Linked DNA regions of Oryzias latipes. Each later gene encodes a partner of the first gene's protein in a complex. Links are inferred from orthologs where the notes say so. Each region holds a gene or a part of one and is shown on either strand. Other genes may lie near its edges.

Region 1 (5,011 bases):
GAGACACTTTTGATGTGCAGTGGCTTGACGTCCTGCACACCTGCTGCTTCTCCGTTGAATTATTTGATCCGAAACCCAACCATTTCCATCTTTGCACAGGCCCAAATGACCCTGAAGCATGCCCAGGCAGAGCTGAAGACCAAACAAGCGGAGATGAAGAAGATGGACAGCGGCTACAAGAAAGATCAGGACACCTTTAAGGCCGTCAAAAGCAGCCGAGAGAAACTGGAGGCGGAGCTGGCCAAACTCAACTATGAAGGTGCAGCATTCTCCTGAAAATAAAAGACGAATGTTGTAAAAGCTTTTGCCTGTTTAGTGACTCAACTTGTGTTTGTGCTGCTGCAGATGGAAAAGAAGAAAGCCTGATGGAAAAACGAAGACAGCTTTCCAGAGAAGTCGCTCAACTTAAGGAGACCTTTGACCGACTCATGTCTCGTTTTCCCAGCCTGCGCTTTGAATACAAGTAAACGCTTCTATCTGTTTGAGTATCATGCCTTTAAATGTACATTTTAATTTACATAACAGCGTATAAGCCCAGACACGTAAGATTTCGTTTAACATTCTTATTCAAAATCTATAAATAAACCAGGTGGCAGATGTGTTTAGTTTATTGACTGGAAAAGTAAAATGCCTGCAGTTAGTGAATTATTTCATATGTAGTGATTTTAATTTTGTTCATATTTTCATTTGCAGCAACATAATGGTTTTTGGAGTGGGGCAAAATTGATCCATAAATTCATTAACAGCTAATTCCAAATAGTTTAACAGTTTACAAGATTTTACAGCTTAAACATAAACAGGAACTATTTTGATTTGAAGTTTTAAGTGTGGACAAATGATTGATTCTGCTGTTTCTTTCATCTCTATGAACTATCTAATCTAAAGATTTGATTAAGAAATAGAACTTTAATTTCTTATCTTGTCCACCATGAATTGAGTTTTTTTTCTTCCTCTTGACGATGTTTTATTTGAGTCATTTTTCTTTTCTTCAGTTTGCATTTTTCTTCTTTTCTGTTGTAATAAATTCTGCTGTCTCCCAGAGATCCGGAGAGAGGCTGGGACCGAAGCAAAGTGAAGGGCCTTCTAGCTAATCTCATAAGTGTCAGTGATGTTTCCTATGCCACGGCACTGGAGGTAGTTGCAGGTGGACGGCTCTACAACATTGTTGTAGACACAGAGGTAGACCTTTTGAAAGTTTTTTTTTTAAATTTATTTCACAGGTGAATAAACAGAATCTTTGTGACTAAATGATTGAATCCTTCCTTCTTAGGTGACTGGTAAGAAGCTGCTGGAGAAAGGAGAGCTACAGCGCAGGTACACCATCATTCCTCTCAACAAGATATCTGCCAAAACTCTCAACGACAAAGTGATCCACACCGCGAAGCGCCTGGTGAGAAAACTCTGTGCTTTCATAGTCTCCGACTTTTTCTTGTGTATAAAAGGAATCACATCTCATTCATTAGGTTTTCTCGTAGGTAATTTTCCGTGATTTTGTCTTTGTTCTGTGAGGTCGGGGAGGACAACGTTCACACAGCTCTGTCCCTGGTGGGATACGAGTCTGACCTTCGTAAAGCCATGGAGTATGTGTTCGGCTCCACGCTGGTCTGTGACACTTTGGACAACGCAAAGAAAGTGGCGTTTGACAAACAGGTGATGACCAAGACTGTTACGCTTGGGGGAGACATCTTTGACCCGCAGGGAACTTTGAGTGGAGGTGAGATCAACGCTCGACTCCTGTTTCCTTGGAAAATCAAATCAGTTTCAATACTTGGCTCCTCTTTTTTTCTTTCCAGGCGCTCGCTCGCAGTCGGCATCGATTTTGTCGAGCCTGCAGGAAGTAAAAGATGTTCAGGACAGCCTGAGCGATAAGGAGGCCAAACTTCAGGATACTGAGCGACAGATGTCCAGTCTGAAGGGAACCGCTGAGAAGTATGCAAATGAAAAAGCAGAAAAGTTCCTCTACACATTAAAAAAACTCCTATATATTTACTAAAACTAGCGGTACTTTCTGTTGTGAAACCCCTTCTTTTAAGTGGGATGCAGTGATTCACTTTCCCCTCGATTCAGTTCAAACCTCAATTTTTGGGTCACGGTTCGAAATATGACTTTTGTACTACAAAGAGACAAACAACATTTTTGAAAAAATCATTTTAAATTTGCTAATAAGCAAAAAAAAAATATATATATATATATCAGTTGGCTAATACTAAGCCTGGAGTAATGTAATAAGACAATAAATAGTAAATCCTTCTTAAATTTAGCACAACTGTTTGACACTTTCAATGTAAACACGCAGTAGCGATGGAACAAATCCCCTTCCCCACAATGCGGTTTAAATGTGGAGCAAACAGTTTGGTTTGAAACCGAGAATGGTGGCATCCCTATTATGCACCATGGAAAATTAGATCCTCTTAATCAATAAAACATTCAATTCAGCTTGATTATATATTTTTTAATTCATTGTGTTTCTTTAAAACAAGCTACTGGTGACAAGTGTTAAAAAAAATCTATTAAGTCTATTTTACATTTCTTGTTTGGCCTGCAGTTAAAAATCAGAAGTTATAGAGATGTTTTGTTTGATCTTGTAGTGAAGGATATTTTTATGAGACAAAAGTCAAATCAAAGAAGATAACCGTGTTTTTTTAATTTATTTTTTAAGTTGTCTGAGGAAGCCTGCTTTTAAAAAACGTATAAGGCCCAGCTGTTTAGGGCCAGTTTACAACTCTGTCGTAGTTTAGAAAGGATTTCTTTGGTTAATTTATTCCAAATGACGTTTTTCATTTCACTTTTCCCTTTCTGCAGGTATCGGCAGCTGAAGCAGCAGCACGAGCTGAAGGTGGAGGAGGAGCAGATCCTGCAGACCAAGCTGCAGCAGAGCTCCTTCCATCAGCAGCAGGAGGAGCTGGAGAGGCTGCAGAAAGCCATCGGTCTGGACTTTAACTTCAGTTTAATAGAGGGAGGGAAAGCGGGAGGTTTCATCTGCAGTTATTTTAAGACCTTTTGTGACGTTTGCTTCCCCAGACGAGAGTGAGGCCACTTTGCGCCTCACCAAGGAGCTGCAGAAGCGAGCCGAGGAGAAGTACAAGGTGCTGGAAAACAAAATGAAGAATGCCGAGGCTGAGAGGGAGAAGGAGTTGAAGGCTGCCCAGGAGAAACTCAACAAAGCAAAAGCAAAAGCAGACGCCTTCAACAAGACTTTAAAGCAGAAGCAGCAGGTAAACTGTTTGTTTTAATGAAAATATGCAGAAATGAGTGGTTCCCAGAATTATTTTAAGATAGCTAAACCTTTGTAATATTTGATTTAATATTTCTAATCATTGGGTTTGTTTATTCTCGTCTCCAGGAGTCTGAAGCTGTGGCCTTGGAGCTGGAGGAGCTCCGGAGGGAGCAGGCCACCTACGAGCAGCAGATTCAGGCCGTCGACGAGGCCATGAAGGCCTTTCAGGAACAAATAGACAGCATGGCCTGCACCGTGACCCAGAACAAGGTAGGAGTGTCGGCTGGGAAGGCAACAGTCTCCTAAAAGCTTTCCCGGCAGAGATTTGCAATAGCAGCACTAAATCCTCATGATTTTTAAGAAAGGAGAGGATGTTTGTTGAGAAAGTCGAGCTAAACCAAATCAGCTTGAATAGATCCAGAAAGCGATGATTTCTGTGGAGATACAAAACATACCAAAAAAACTTTTACTTCAAAAAATTCAGTTCAAAGATTCAAAATCACAAATTCAAACCTTAGAAAATAATTATGCAACTTTAAAAATGGCCTTTTTCAGAGGAAAGAAAATAGAATCATCACATAAATTAGGAGGCATAAATAGTAAACAGACAAAACAGCAGTGTTCTACAGTCTTTCGGCATGTTTTAAAAGAGGTTTTGGAGCGGAGAGAAACCTTTCAGATGCTCTAAGACTTTGAATTTGAGCCAAAAACAAAAAATCGTCATCTACATAGATTGTTTGTTTGAGCCAATGACATTGTGATGATTTTGGTCATGTTTGCTACATGTAGAGTTACATTAATCTTTTCCATCTGTGAAGTCTGACGTTTTATCGATTTAGTTTTCAATCTGACTATGTTGTTAGAGGAAGCTTCAGCAGGATGGAAACACTGAATTTATTTTAACTTTCTTCGTTGGAGGCAAATAAAACAACCCTTCCTATTTACAAATGAAATGTTTTTTCCTCTCTTTTAGATAAAAAAAATAAAAATAAAGCTGCATTTTCTTTCAAGCCAGCTGAAAATATGAGTTTGTTTTCAGTTTAACTGTACGTGTGTGTGAGCCTAATATCATGAATGTGGCGCAGGAGGCAGTGCGGAAAGCCCAGGAGGAGCTGACCAAACTCAAAGAAGTGATCATGGCACAGGACAAGGAGATCAAGGTTGTGGAATTTTGACTGTTTCATTGAAAGCTTTCTTCTTTCTTTCGGCTTGTTCTCGGCTTTCAGCATAAATGTGTATTTAATTCTTCTCAGTAATGGCAGATCTTCCAGTTTTTAAAGATGCTTGTCCTCATAGGGAAAAAACTCGGAGGCCAATAAGATAAGAGAGCAGAACAATGAGGTTCAGCTGAAGATCAAGGAGCAGGAACACAACATTAGTAAACATCATAAAGACAGCCAGGACGCTGCTGACAAGGTACGCACTAACCTGCACCTGTCTCCTCACTTGAACGCAGAGATTCTATTGTTCTTTTAAAAGAAAAAGCTTAGATTTTTGAGATGTTCGTGTCACTTGCAGGTGGCTCGGATGCTGGAAGAACACGACTGGATCCAGTCGGAGCGCCATTTCTTCGGCCAGCCGAACTCCTCCTACGACTTTAAAGTCAACAACCCCCGTGAGGCGGGCCAGCGGCTGAAGAAGCTGGAAGAAACCACTTCCAAGCTGGAGAGGAACGTCAACAAGAGAGCCATGAACATGCTGAACGAGGCAGAGGAAAGGGTGAGGAGCTCCTGTCGGCGCCGTCTGAGTCGATCCAAATGTTTGACAACATTTTTGTGTTTGCTGAAAACTGTG
Region 2 (4,378 bases), on another chromosome or scaffold:
TCTGCATTAAATCTCCCTCGTGTAAAATATCCAGAAATATGTTCATAGAATCATTTATAGTTTCACGGGGTTTGTTCTAAAATGAGTCAAATCTTTCCAAAATGTTGGAGTGAAAGAGCAAAACTGATGAGGCACAGTTTCTGGTGAGGAACGATAACATGAGCAGTTTATGTCCAGTTCTTTTTTAAATTCCAGGAAGAATATTCCAGATAGCATGATTAAACTTCCCTGACTTTAAGCCTGAACTCTGGCTGAAATCCACCCGAACTTGCTTACTCTGGGTATGTCGGTTCCAAAAGACCGGATATGAGTTAACGTAATCACGCTCCACTTGGTAACCCTGGGTTAATGCACGTGCACAGCAGGTACATAAAGACATTCTCAATGGATCGCCGCTTTCTGGAGTCACCATGGAAACACGTGGAAAAAAAGAAAGCGCTATACTTCAGTGAGACGGAGTCTGAGATTTTAATGACGCCGTATGAAGATTATACGTCCATCAAAAAAGTAACACGGCTGCATCATCAGCAAAAGAGAGTTTCTGCTTGGAGACAAAGAACAAAGTAAACGCACGAGTTTCTGATCTTATTTCCATTTTCTTTGTGACGCAGAAATATATATATATATATAACTTATCCAATTTTGCCAACTTAAATGAATTACTTCTATTGGTAACAAATAATTGAGTTAAAATTATTCAACGTAATTTCTTACGTCTATAAAACTCAATAATTGTTTATGCAACTCAAATTTACGTATTTATCTAACTAAATGTCATATTACTCCAATTCAATTAATATTTTTTCCATCTTAATTATATTTCTTGAACTCTCAAATGTCTAAGTTTGAGCCGGCAGATATTCTCATTTGTATAACAATAAAAAGGACGAAACAAAATGCACAAAGTGTATAAATTGATTAAATAATCAATAATCCTCTCCCTCCCTCTCACTCATGGTGCAGAGACGTAAGCAAAGTAGGACAAAATAACTCGACAAAACACAGTAAAACAGCTAAACAACTAAACACATTTGGTCACAAAGCCACACTTAAATCCAAATCCGTCCAGACAGGCAAAGGGAATGGTATCCCACAATCCTTTGCGGTGCCGATCTAACAGCACCTACTTAATTGAATTAATTTGAATGAAAGTAAAACAACTGTCTGAAAACTACGTTTTATTTTTAATCTAACTTAACAAAAAAAATGATTTATCTTAACTGAAGCAAATAATGAAGTTAGATCAAAGTATAAAGTTTCTCTTTCCAACATCCATATGTGGTCTTATCACTCTCTCATGGTGGAAAAAGTATTATCTGAGCTTCTTCATCCACTAAATCATCTTCAAATGGACACGCCATGCTGCTTCACCTCTCTGAAAACAAACTAACCTTCAACTAAACCTGCTCCAGACCAGGTTATGTTCAGAGCATGAGTTGCTATGGCAACTTGACCTACCCTGAAACATACCTCCATTTCTGGAACCGAAAGCTGAGGTTATCAACTTCCTTAGCCTCAAACTTACCGTGGGAGCTAGCAGAACCTGCTTCCTGGAATACCCCCCCCGGTGTCTTCAGAAAAGAGGCCGCGGCGTTACCTGTTAGGAGGTACACAGGTGTTACCTGTTAGGAGGTACACAGGTGTTACCTGTTAGGAGGTACACAGGTGTTACCTGTTGCGAGGTACACAGGTGTTACCTGTTGCGAGGTACACAGGTGTTACCTGTTGCGAGGTACACAGGTGTTGCCTGTTGGGAGGTACACAGGTGTTGCCTGTTGGGAGGTACACAGGTGTTGCCTGTTGGGAGGTACACAGGTGTTGCCTGTTGGGAGGTACACAGGTGTTGCCTGTTGGGAGGTACACAGGTGTTGCCTGTTGGGAGGTACACAGGTGTTGCCTGTTGGGAGGTACACAGGTGTTGCCTGTTGGGAGGTACACAGGTGTTGCCTGTTGGGAGGTACACAGGCCGTAAGCGTGTGATTGCTGTCATGTGACCCTCAGACCGTGGTCGTCACTCCTCTTCCTCCCGAGTCTCTGATTCCTCCAGAAAGCCAGGAGAAGCAGAAGCTGCCCCTCATCAGGTGGGTGGAGCGGCAGGGTCTGACCCGCCGGGCCGTGCGCTCTGCTCACAGCCGTCTCTTCGTGTGTCAGTGTGAAGGGGGAGGTGCTGTGCAGCCAGAGGGACTTTCGGATTAACCTGTTCTTCCCGGGGGAGGGGGGCGTGGTCTTACTGAGGCTGCGCTCTGCGCTGGAGCTGGACCTGCATCCCGCCAACTTCTTGCATCAGGATTCCTCTGTTGATGCCTCCATGGGTGCAGACGTGCCCCCTGAGGCAGGAGAAGACTGCCGTCCAGAAGACAGAAGTGACCAGGACCCAGAGCAGCATGTGGACCGGCACCAGGTCTCATCAGAACAGCACAGGTGCTCCACCTGGACGGTCCAGAACCTGAACTTGTTGTGGCTGTGTTGCAGGCTGGGAGCGGCGTCCGAGAGAAACGGCAGATCTTTGCTGAGGAAAGACCCCAGCAGGATGCCCCGCCTCCAGTAGGTCACCTGATTCCACAGACCACTTGTCTGTTCTTCATCCTGCAGATGTGCAGTCCCATCTCCTCTGCCTCGTTTCTGTCAGCCTTCAGGTGAAGGTGTCAGGTGCAGACCGGGCTGTAAGCCGGTCCTCCCGTTTTAGTCAGAGGCGTTTGTAGGACGTCTTTCTTCGTTCTCAGGACTTTCTGAAACGCTTCTCCACAAGTAAACGTCTACCTGAAGGTCTCTCTGTTCCAGGTGAACGTCTGGACGCTCCACGACCCCTACGCTGTCCTCGCCCACGACAAGCCCTTCAGGATGGGTCAGTCAAGGCCGTTCCTCAGCTGGGTGTCACTACACAAAGTTGTGTCCACTCACAGTTGTGTGTCTCCTTAGGGAGGTGCTACAGGGTTCCACACGGTCTGGATGAAGGAGGAAAGAGGAAGAGGAGGTGCCCTTGTCCTCTGCAGGACTTCAGGAGCTGGTTCAGAGGAACCTGTGAGAACTACTGCTCACACTGATGTTTCATGAAAGCCACATCATCATCCTCATGTGTGTGTGTGTGTGTGTGTGCGCGCGGGTGCTCGTGTGCTACAGCTGGTCCTATGGAGAACAAGCTAAAAGGTGGACCCACCTTCACAGGTACACAGCACATCAGGACTCTGGCAAACTGAGAGGCGGGTCTTTTCCTGACTCCACTTCCTGTTTCAGACCTGAACTACATCTACCTGAAGTCACTGAAGGACAAGATCCGGACCAGGAGGAGGCTCAATCGCAGAGTGGTGAGACCTGCCGCACTTTACAAGCCTTCAGTCTGGACCTGAACATGATGATGATTAGGATGACGTCCACCAGGGTCTGGTGATGTCAGAGGATGAGCTGAGGAGAACCTTGCTGCAGCCACAGGAGGTGGGGCTGCAGCAGGAGGGGGATGAGCCTGCAGACGCCTTCAGGGACGCTGACATGTTTGGTAAAAAAGGTTTTGCATCTTTGTGAGACGCCAACGCTTGCAGTACCACGTCTGACCAGCAGTGTGTGCAGGAGAGCACGACCTCTCAGAGGAAGAGTCTCCTGAAGATCCTGCAGACTTTGCTGGAGGAGCTCAGCACATTGCAGGTAAAGTTGACCCGGTTTCAGGTGTCTGATGGTCCCGCCGTCCGGTTTTGACCGGACTGGTGAGGATTTGGGTTGGTAGAAAAACCTGAGGCACGGAGGGGTTGGGTAAATCTAGTTTTCAGGTTGAAATTTTGCATCAGAAGAAAACGGGGCGGGGCTAAGTCTGTCTCACCCCTGTATGTGTGCACGTGTGTGTGTGCACGTCTCAGCCTCTCCTTCTGTCTGCAGATCAGGCGGATGAGCTGTCCTACGAAGACCTGGTGAAGCTGCAGGTGGTGAGTCGGCTGCCGTTGACCGTTTTTATTGTCTGGGTCGGCCCGAGGGTCAAATGAATCTCTGGTGGATTAAACGTCAGATGAATGAAGGGCGTTGGCCATTTCATGGCTCCGCCCACCTCCACATTTAAAATGTGCAATTTGGTGGGGCCACGGTGTCTAATAATAATAAATAATTTATTTATCAATAATTCTTCTCTGCATTTGACCCATCCCCTGGGGGAGCTGTGAGCTGCAGCTCGGGAGGCAGTAGCATTAAGTTTTGCCCCACTGAGTGATGTTAATTGTAATGGTAATTGCCCCCAGTACCATTGTTGATTCCCCGCTGGGAGTCGAACCTTGGGTTCCTGCGTGGCAGCCTTCCACCTTACCAACCGAGCTACCCAGCCACTAGAAGAAACCGGTTCAACCCATCACTGATTGGTAATCACTACCTGCATCACCTATGAGGAAGCTGCTGCTCC
Region 3 (5,351 bases), on another chromosome or scaffold:
AGTACATATCATGCAATTAGTTGAATTCAGTCAGATAGCTGGAACTAAATGCTGCAAATTTTTCTGTCAAAGTGCCTTTATAAACACTTTTTGATACAAATCTTTTGGTGGTTTTACTCAATTCTCTACATATTTCCAGTCAACCAAAGATCATAGATTATTTTTTATTATGTAACATGGTCCGGGTGAATAATGGATTCTGATTGGCTGCTGGGTGTGCATTAAAATGTGATAATCCACAGTGATAATGCACACCTAAAAAAACAAGAAGTTCTGGTGTCTCATAGATGAAATCCCTTTGTATCACTTTGTTGACTTTTTTAAAAATAAACTTTAGCTTCATTATCTGGACAAAAACGAGTGGTAAGAGGTGAACTTTCTCTCTGAACTGATGCTTTATTTAATCCATAGTGATGATCAGAATATATAGCACTTTCTTCTGCCACACCGCATAAAAAAAGCGATCTAAACCGAACAAATGAAAAGAAAAACATACTAAAAGCGGATTGAATATGACCATGGTTTATGCCATGCGTTAATTTCTGATAATGCTTACTTTGTCGGCCATGATCCTTTACTTATGTAACATAGGTCTATACAAAAGTCAAAGTTTGTTCGTTAATGTGTGTAAATGGGCAGTCCAGGCCATCAGCTTCATGACTGACATCAGCTAGCACTAATCTGCTGTGTCATGCTAAAACACCAACATGCTGCAGTTTAAAGCAACTTCATCACCTCAAACTGCTGGGGTTACGAAACTGCTGCCACATCACCAAGAGTGGGAGAGCTGACCAGACATGACTTTGTTCCGTTCAGTTACTGCGTGCCAACCTTACTCACTAAAGCCATTTATGGGGAACATTTTTGATAAAACAGTAAAGCAAACAAAGCTTTTATCTTTGCGTTTCCTTCTGTCATCTCCTGGTCTGTCCTCTGCTTCAGGGGGGTGACAGTGATGACGACGATGTTGAGGGGTTTACTGGTTCCGATGACATCCAGCCGTCAGGTGGTAGTGAAGCTCCACCCTCACAAGACCTGGAGGGTGTGTCCACCTACGGGGAGGATGAACTGGTACCTGAGCCTCACAGAGTGAGTCATGCAGGGTTTTTTTTTCTTTTTCAAGAACACATAATGGATTTAGTTTGTTTTGTTTGTTTGACACGTATTCATTTACCTGGCAGTAAACCTGAAGCCTGTGAATCTCGATCATGAAAGGGCCTGCATCATGTAAAATCAACCTTTTGAGCTTTTAAGTGTATTATCATGTTAATTCCTCACTATAAACAACCCCAAAGCGGTATTCGGATCCATTCACGCATTTCTGAGCACCAGCCCCTCCCAACCCGTGAAAATAAGCGGGTTCATTGTGGCGTAGATAAGTGAGGAACAGCCCCTTCCAGGAAAAGTCTACCCTGCCAGCGCCACCCCCAGGCTAACACGCACACCCACTTTCTCCACAAACCGAGCGGTGATCATCAAAAGCGCTTTCCTTTTATAAGCACATGTATCTTTGCAATAGTTCAAATGTTGTTTGTTTTTATTGGCGAGATGCAGCCGAGGCCGACTCTAGGTTGATGTCATGAAGTGAGCGGCACCCAAGCGAAAAAGAACTGATGAAAATAACAAATATTTAATACAAAATTTGTTCTGTAGTGTGCCAAAATGTAATTTATTATTACATATATGGATATAGTTCACTCAGAAATGCTTAAAAAGCATGATTGAGGCCTTTTCCAAAAAGGCTGAACTTTGTATGGAATTGATTTTTACTCTACTGCTTGTGTTTGCAGGTCAACAAAATTGAAATCAATTATGCCAAGACAGCAAAGAAAATGGATATGAAGAAGCTTAAGAACAGCATGTGGACTCTTTTAACAGATAGTCCAGAAGAAAAGGTACAGGTGCTTTTACTTTGTTTCTTTCTTTTTTGTCTGTATTGTATCATGTTGATGAATGTTTAGGTGTCTGGCGTTGGTGCTTGAGGACGGTCTAGAGAGGGCAGCTGTGTTCATCTGGTTTTTGTCTTTCTGCAGGTGAAGGAGACTGTTGAGACTCAGGATGTGTGTGGGGAGAAAGCCTTCAGTCAGACCACAAAGATGCTGCTTCAAAGGTACCAACACAACTCTGGCACTTATAGCAACAATCATCAAAAGCTTTAGAAAGCCTCACATTCTACTAACATTGCTGGTTTGGAATCCATGCGTGGGTTTTACCAAAAAGTTTTGGCTCCTCCAACACTTTTTTTTTTCGTATTCTTGTGAGACATTATCTTCCTTTATAGACTGATGCTGACAGAACCTTGAAGAGTTTGATTTGAAATGTGCTCCTCCTCCTTCTCCCCCCTCCTTCTTGTACCCCTTAGGTTGCCGAACGTTATGGCTCAGAACCTGTCGGTGCCGCTGGCCTTTGTGGCTCTGCTTCATCTGGCAAATGAAAAGGTGCAACTATTTATTAGAAAATAAAAGAAAACATTGCAACCCTCTTGGCATTACAATAACTCCTAATCATAAATAGACAAACTTGCATTTTTATGTACAGTACAATCAATTCAATATAATGATTGTCAGATAGAGTTTGATGAATAGCTTGAAATGAAGTGGGAAGAAGCAAATTTACATAATCCCACCAAAAATAAACAAATATTAAGCATATGATGGAGCTAAAAGAAGTGTTTCACACTTTTCTGTGTTGTTTTTTTACTTAAAAGGGGAACATAATTTCTAGTTGCTTAGCATGTGATCTAGTTTTTTCCGTCTTTTGACAGTGTGTGAAAGTTTGAAATGGCTAATTGACACGCACATCTGTAACGTATATCTATTACATATACTGATGTCATCATGTAATCAGTTCCTAGATTAATGGGAAAAAAAGTGTTTATCATTTACCAATGAACAGCAGGACTGACGACCCGACTCTATTTTTGGTTGTCAAAAAAACCAAAATAATATTGGTTCATGAGTTAATTCATTTAAAATCAAATGGAAGTAAATGAGTTGTACTGTATTTGAGGTTCTGAAAATATCTTATCAGTTTGGTTTCTTTTTATTTAACCTTTATTTTACCAGGAAGTCCCTTGAGATAAAACATTTTTAGAGAGAGACGTGACCCAGAGGCATTGATACACACACAAACATAAAACCATGAAAATAAAAGAACATTTGAAACAGCTCAAGATAAACATGTGCACTCTTCGGTCACTCACTCAGTGTTATCAGTTTGTGGGATCACTTTGCTTATAAAGATAGTGACAGACGTGTCATTACTCCTACTCGACTTTAAAATGTTTCAACTTAAGAGCCTTTTAAATGAATCCTGTTTGTCTTTAAAATGACTTTAATTTAACATTATATTTGACATTAATTTATTATCAAGAGCAACTTTCAGCTTTAGGAATTCTACTTTTATAAAAGGTTATAACAACATAACCCAAGTTATTTTCTGTAGACAAACGTCTGAAGCTTTAACACCTTTTAACAGTTTTGAATTGTCTGTTTTACAGAATTTGGAGCTGGTCAAAGTTGATGACATGTCAGACATTATCATCAGACAAGGCCGCTAAGGAGAAAACCAGGAGATTTTTTTAAATTCTGTCCTCTTCTTTCTTTGAATTTATGCTTTTTCTATTTAAAATGTCAGGTTTTATTCACTTTGTGCTTAAGTTTTAAATCTGCCCTTTTTTCCCTCATAATGACAAGACGACCTTTTTTTTAACTCTGTACTATTTCATGATTATCTGTTGTGTAGATAAAAGAACTTTTCAACCACTGCTCAAAAGATATATATTGTCAAAAGAAATAAAATGTTTTTTTTTCCCATAAATGTGGTTGAGTTTGTGACTTAAATTTGGGCAGAACGTGTGAAATCCTGGCACATTAAACCTGTTTATAGTGTGAGTTTGCAACTTTGCTGTCGCCTTCCCGTAGAGGTTAAGCCGGTTTGTCTGGGTCTGTGCTTCCATCTGGGTGAGACGACATGACGTCCTTTCATTAAGGAGATACAGAACAAGAAAGAGCAGAGGACTAATCACATTCCAGTCCTTGGCGTAGAAGTTTTTAATCTTGCACACAGGAACTTTGATATAAACAGTGTTTTTACTTTAGGTTTCCTAATTTAATCCTAATATAATGGTAGAAATGTGCTTTTGTCCGATTATCACTAAATTGTGTAATGTGTCTCAAAATGTTTATAGTAATGCAATTAATATATAACACATAAGTAATTAGTTTTGTTTGTTTTGTTAAATATACTGTTTAAAAGTGGTTTTCCCATCATACCTCTCTTCAGACTTTCTGTTTAAAAACACAAAAGATTACTTCAAAGGATTCAAGGAGTATTTATTGCCAGTGAGCAGGGCATTTTCACAGAATTGGAATTTGCTGCGGTGCTAATGTGCGACATAAAACACTTGAATAACAAAAATAAATACCAGAGCAAAAAAAAAAAAAAAGATCTGAAAGGGGTGAGTTAAGAGTTAACATTCATGACTCCTATCTCAGATCCAACATGTGATGGAAACACCCTCAGATGGGAATTGAGTAGGAAGGCTGGAGCCACACAAAACCCAACATTAAGGGAACAATAGAGTCATGCCTTCAAAATAAAAGCATGTCCTGTCTTTATAATGAAATATTATCAGAAGCTGAAAAGTCAAATGGCACAAGCCAGATACGATCTGCAGTAAATACTTAACACATGTGGATGTGTTTTTATTATTATTATTGCTATTGGTCTTGATATTTTAATAATTATTGAAATGAGGTGGAGGGGAAATAGTGAGATACCTCTATTTTTTGATTTTTATCAGATTTTTATCGGTCCTTTTTTTACTCTAATAAACTAGCAAAATATTTGGAATCGTCATTCTAAAAAAAATAGCAATAGAAATGTCACTGTTGCACTTTTTCTTTCTTAATTGTAGGTTCTACGTCGCAAATTCAAAGTCGCAGAGCGGAAGCAGCGGTTGTGTTGCGGCGCACCGACGTCTTGAAGCGGAGGAATTCTATGACCGGAACAAAAAATAGGACCAGGAAGTTGAAGTGTCGAGCGCGTCCCCGTCACGATAGAGCAACAAACTAAAGTTTTAACAAAGTATTTTTAAAAGGTTTTAGCTTATAGGTCCGCTTCGGGAAACGTGTTTTCATTGATTATCGATCAGGGGACATCATTTCCAGCGACATGGACCATGATCCGGTAGGTACTGAGAGACCTGTTTTGAGACCCAAGTAAGAAAGTAAGTTGTTGTTTGGAGTCATGCAACAACAGGTGAAGCTAGCTTCAAAAAATGGATTATTTAACCTGGGTTGATAACAATAAACTCTTACTTTTGGTTTTGTATTTATTTTTGATAACGT

The links. Proteins that work in one complex are often made in the same cells at the same time.
Region 2: the proteins of smc2 (region 1) and ncaph2 are in contact, whole or in part, in a cryo-EM structure (PDB 9F5W), measured with the Homo sapiens proteins. The link is inferred for Oryzias latipes from reciprocal best matches to the Homo sapiens genes SMC2 and NCAPH2. Residues at the interface, in NP_001036015.1 of Homo sapiens: Leu93, Thr125, Gln128, Asp129, Cys132, Gly135, Leu136, Asn137, Met173, Tyr174, Lys177, Lys178; in NP_689512.2 of Homo sapiens: Glu46, Phe53, Ile54, Glu55, Leu58, Leu59, Gly62, Ser63, Ala64, Cys65, Val66, Lys69, Tyr73.
Region 3: smc2 (region 1) and ncaph share a complex: the UniProt entries of both Homo sapiens proteins name them as parts of the condensin complex. The link is inferred for Oryzias latipes from reciprocal best matches to the Homo sapiens genes SMC2 and NCAPH.

What each region holds. Positions count from the first base shown.
Region 1 is NC_019859.2:11,208,340-11,213,350, forward strand, and holds part of smc2 (structural maintenance of chromosomes protein 2), read left to right. Parts: intron 1-99; coding exon 100-259; intron 260-345; coding exon 346-463; intron 464-1,040; coding exon 1,041-1,179; intron 1,180-1,270; coding exon 1,271-1,390; intron 1,391-1,509; coding exon 1,510-1,714; intron 1,715-1,793; coding exon 1,794-1,929; intron 1,930-2,802; coding exon 2,803-2,927; intron 2,928-3,021; coding exon 3,022-3,215; intron 3,216-3,343; coding exon 3,344-3,487; intron 3,488-4,302; coding exon 4,303-4,377; intron 4,378-4,513; coding exon 4,514-4,633; intron 4,634-4,735; coding exon 4,736-4,936; intron 4,937-5,011. UniProt on the Homo sapiens protein: Central component of the condensin complex, a complex required for conversion of interphase chromatin into mitotic-like condense chromosomes.
Region 2 is NC_019881.2:24,032,475-24,036,852, reverse strand, and holds part of ncaph2 (condensin-2 complex subunit H2), read left to right. Parts: intron 1-2,001; coding exon 2,002-2,081; intron 2,082-2,151; coding exon 2,152-2,401; intron 2,402-2,472; coding exon 2,473-2,544; intron 2,545-2,781; coding exon 2,782-2,845; intron 2,846-2,919; coding exon 2,920-3,021; intron 3,022-3,120; coding exon 3,121-3,165; intron 3,166-3,234; coding exon 3,235-3,305; intron 3,306-3,378; coding exon 3,379-3,493; intron 3,494-3,564; coding exon 3,565-3,639; intron 3,640-3,867; coding exon 3,868-3,914; intron 3,915-4,378. UniProt on the Homo sapiens protein: Regulatory subunit of the condensin-2 complex, a complex that seems to provide chromosomes with an additional level of organization and rigidity and in establishing mitotic chromosome architecture.
Region 3 is NC_019867.2:25,809,972-25,815,322, reverse strand, and holds the end of ncaph (condensin complex subunit 2), read left to right. Parts: intron 1-942; coding exon 943-1,089; intron 1,090-1,790; coding exon 1,791-1,895; intron 1,896-2,033; coding exon 2,034-2,110; intron 2,111-2,362; coding exon 2,363-2,438; intron 2,439-3,499; coding exon 3,500-3,559; 3' UTR 3,560-3,819; downstream 3,820-5,351. Other genes in the region: vesicle-associated membrane protein 8-like, read left to right, coding at 5,176-5,190. UniProt on the Homo sapiens protein: Regulatory subunit of the condensin complex, a complex required for conversion of interphase chromatin into mitotic-like condense chromosomes.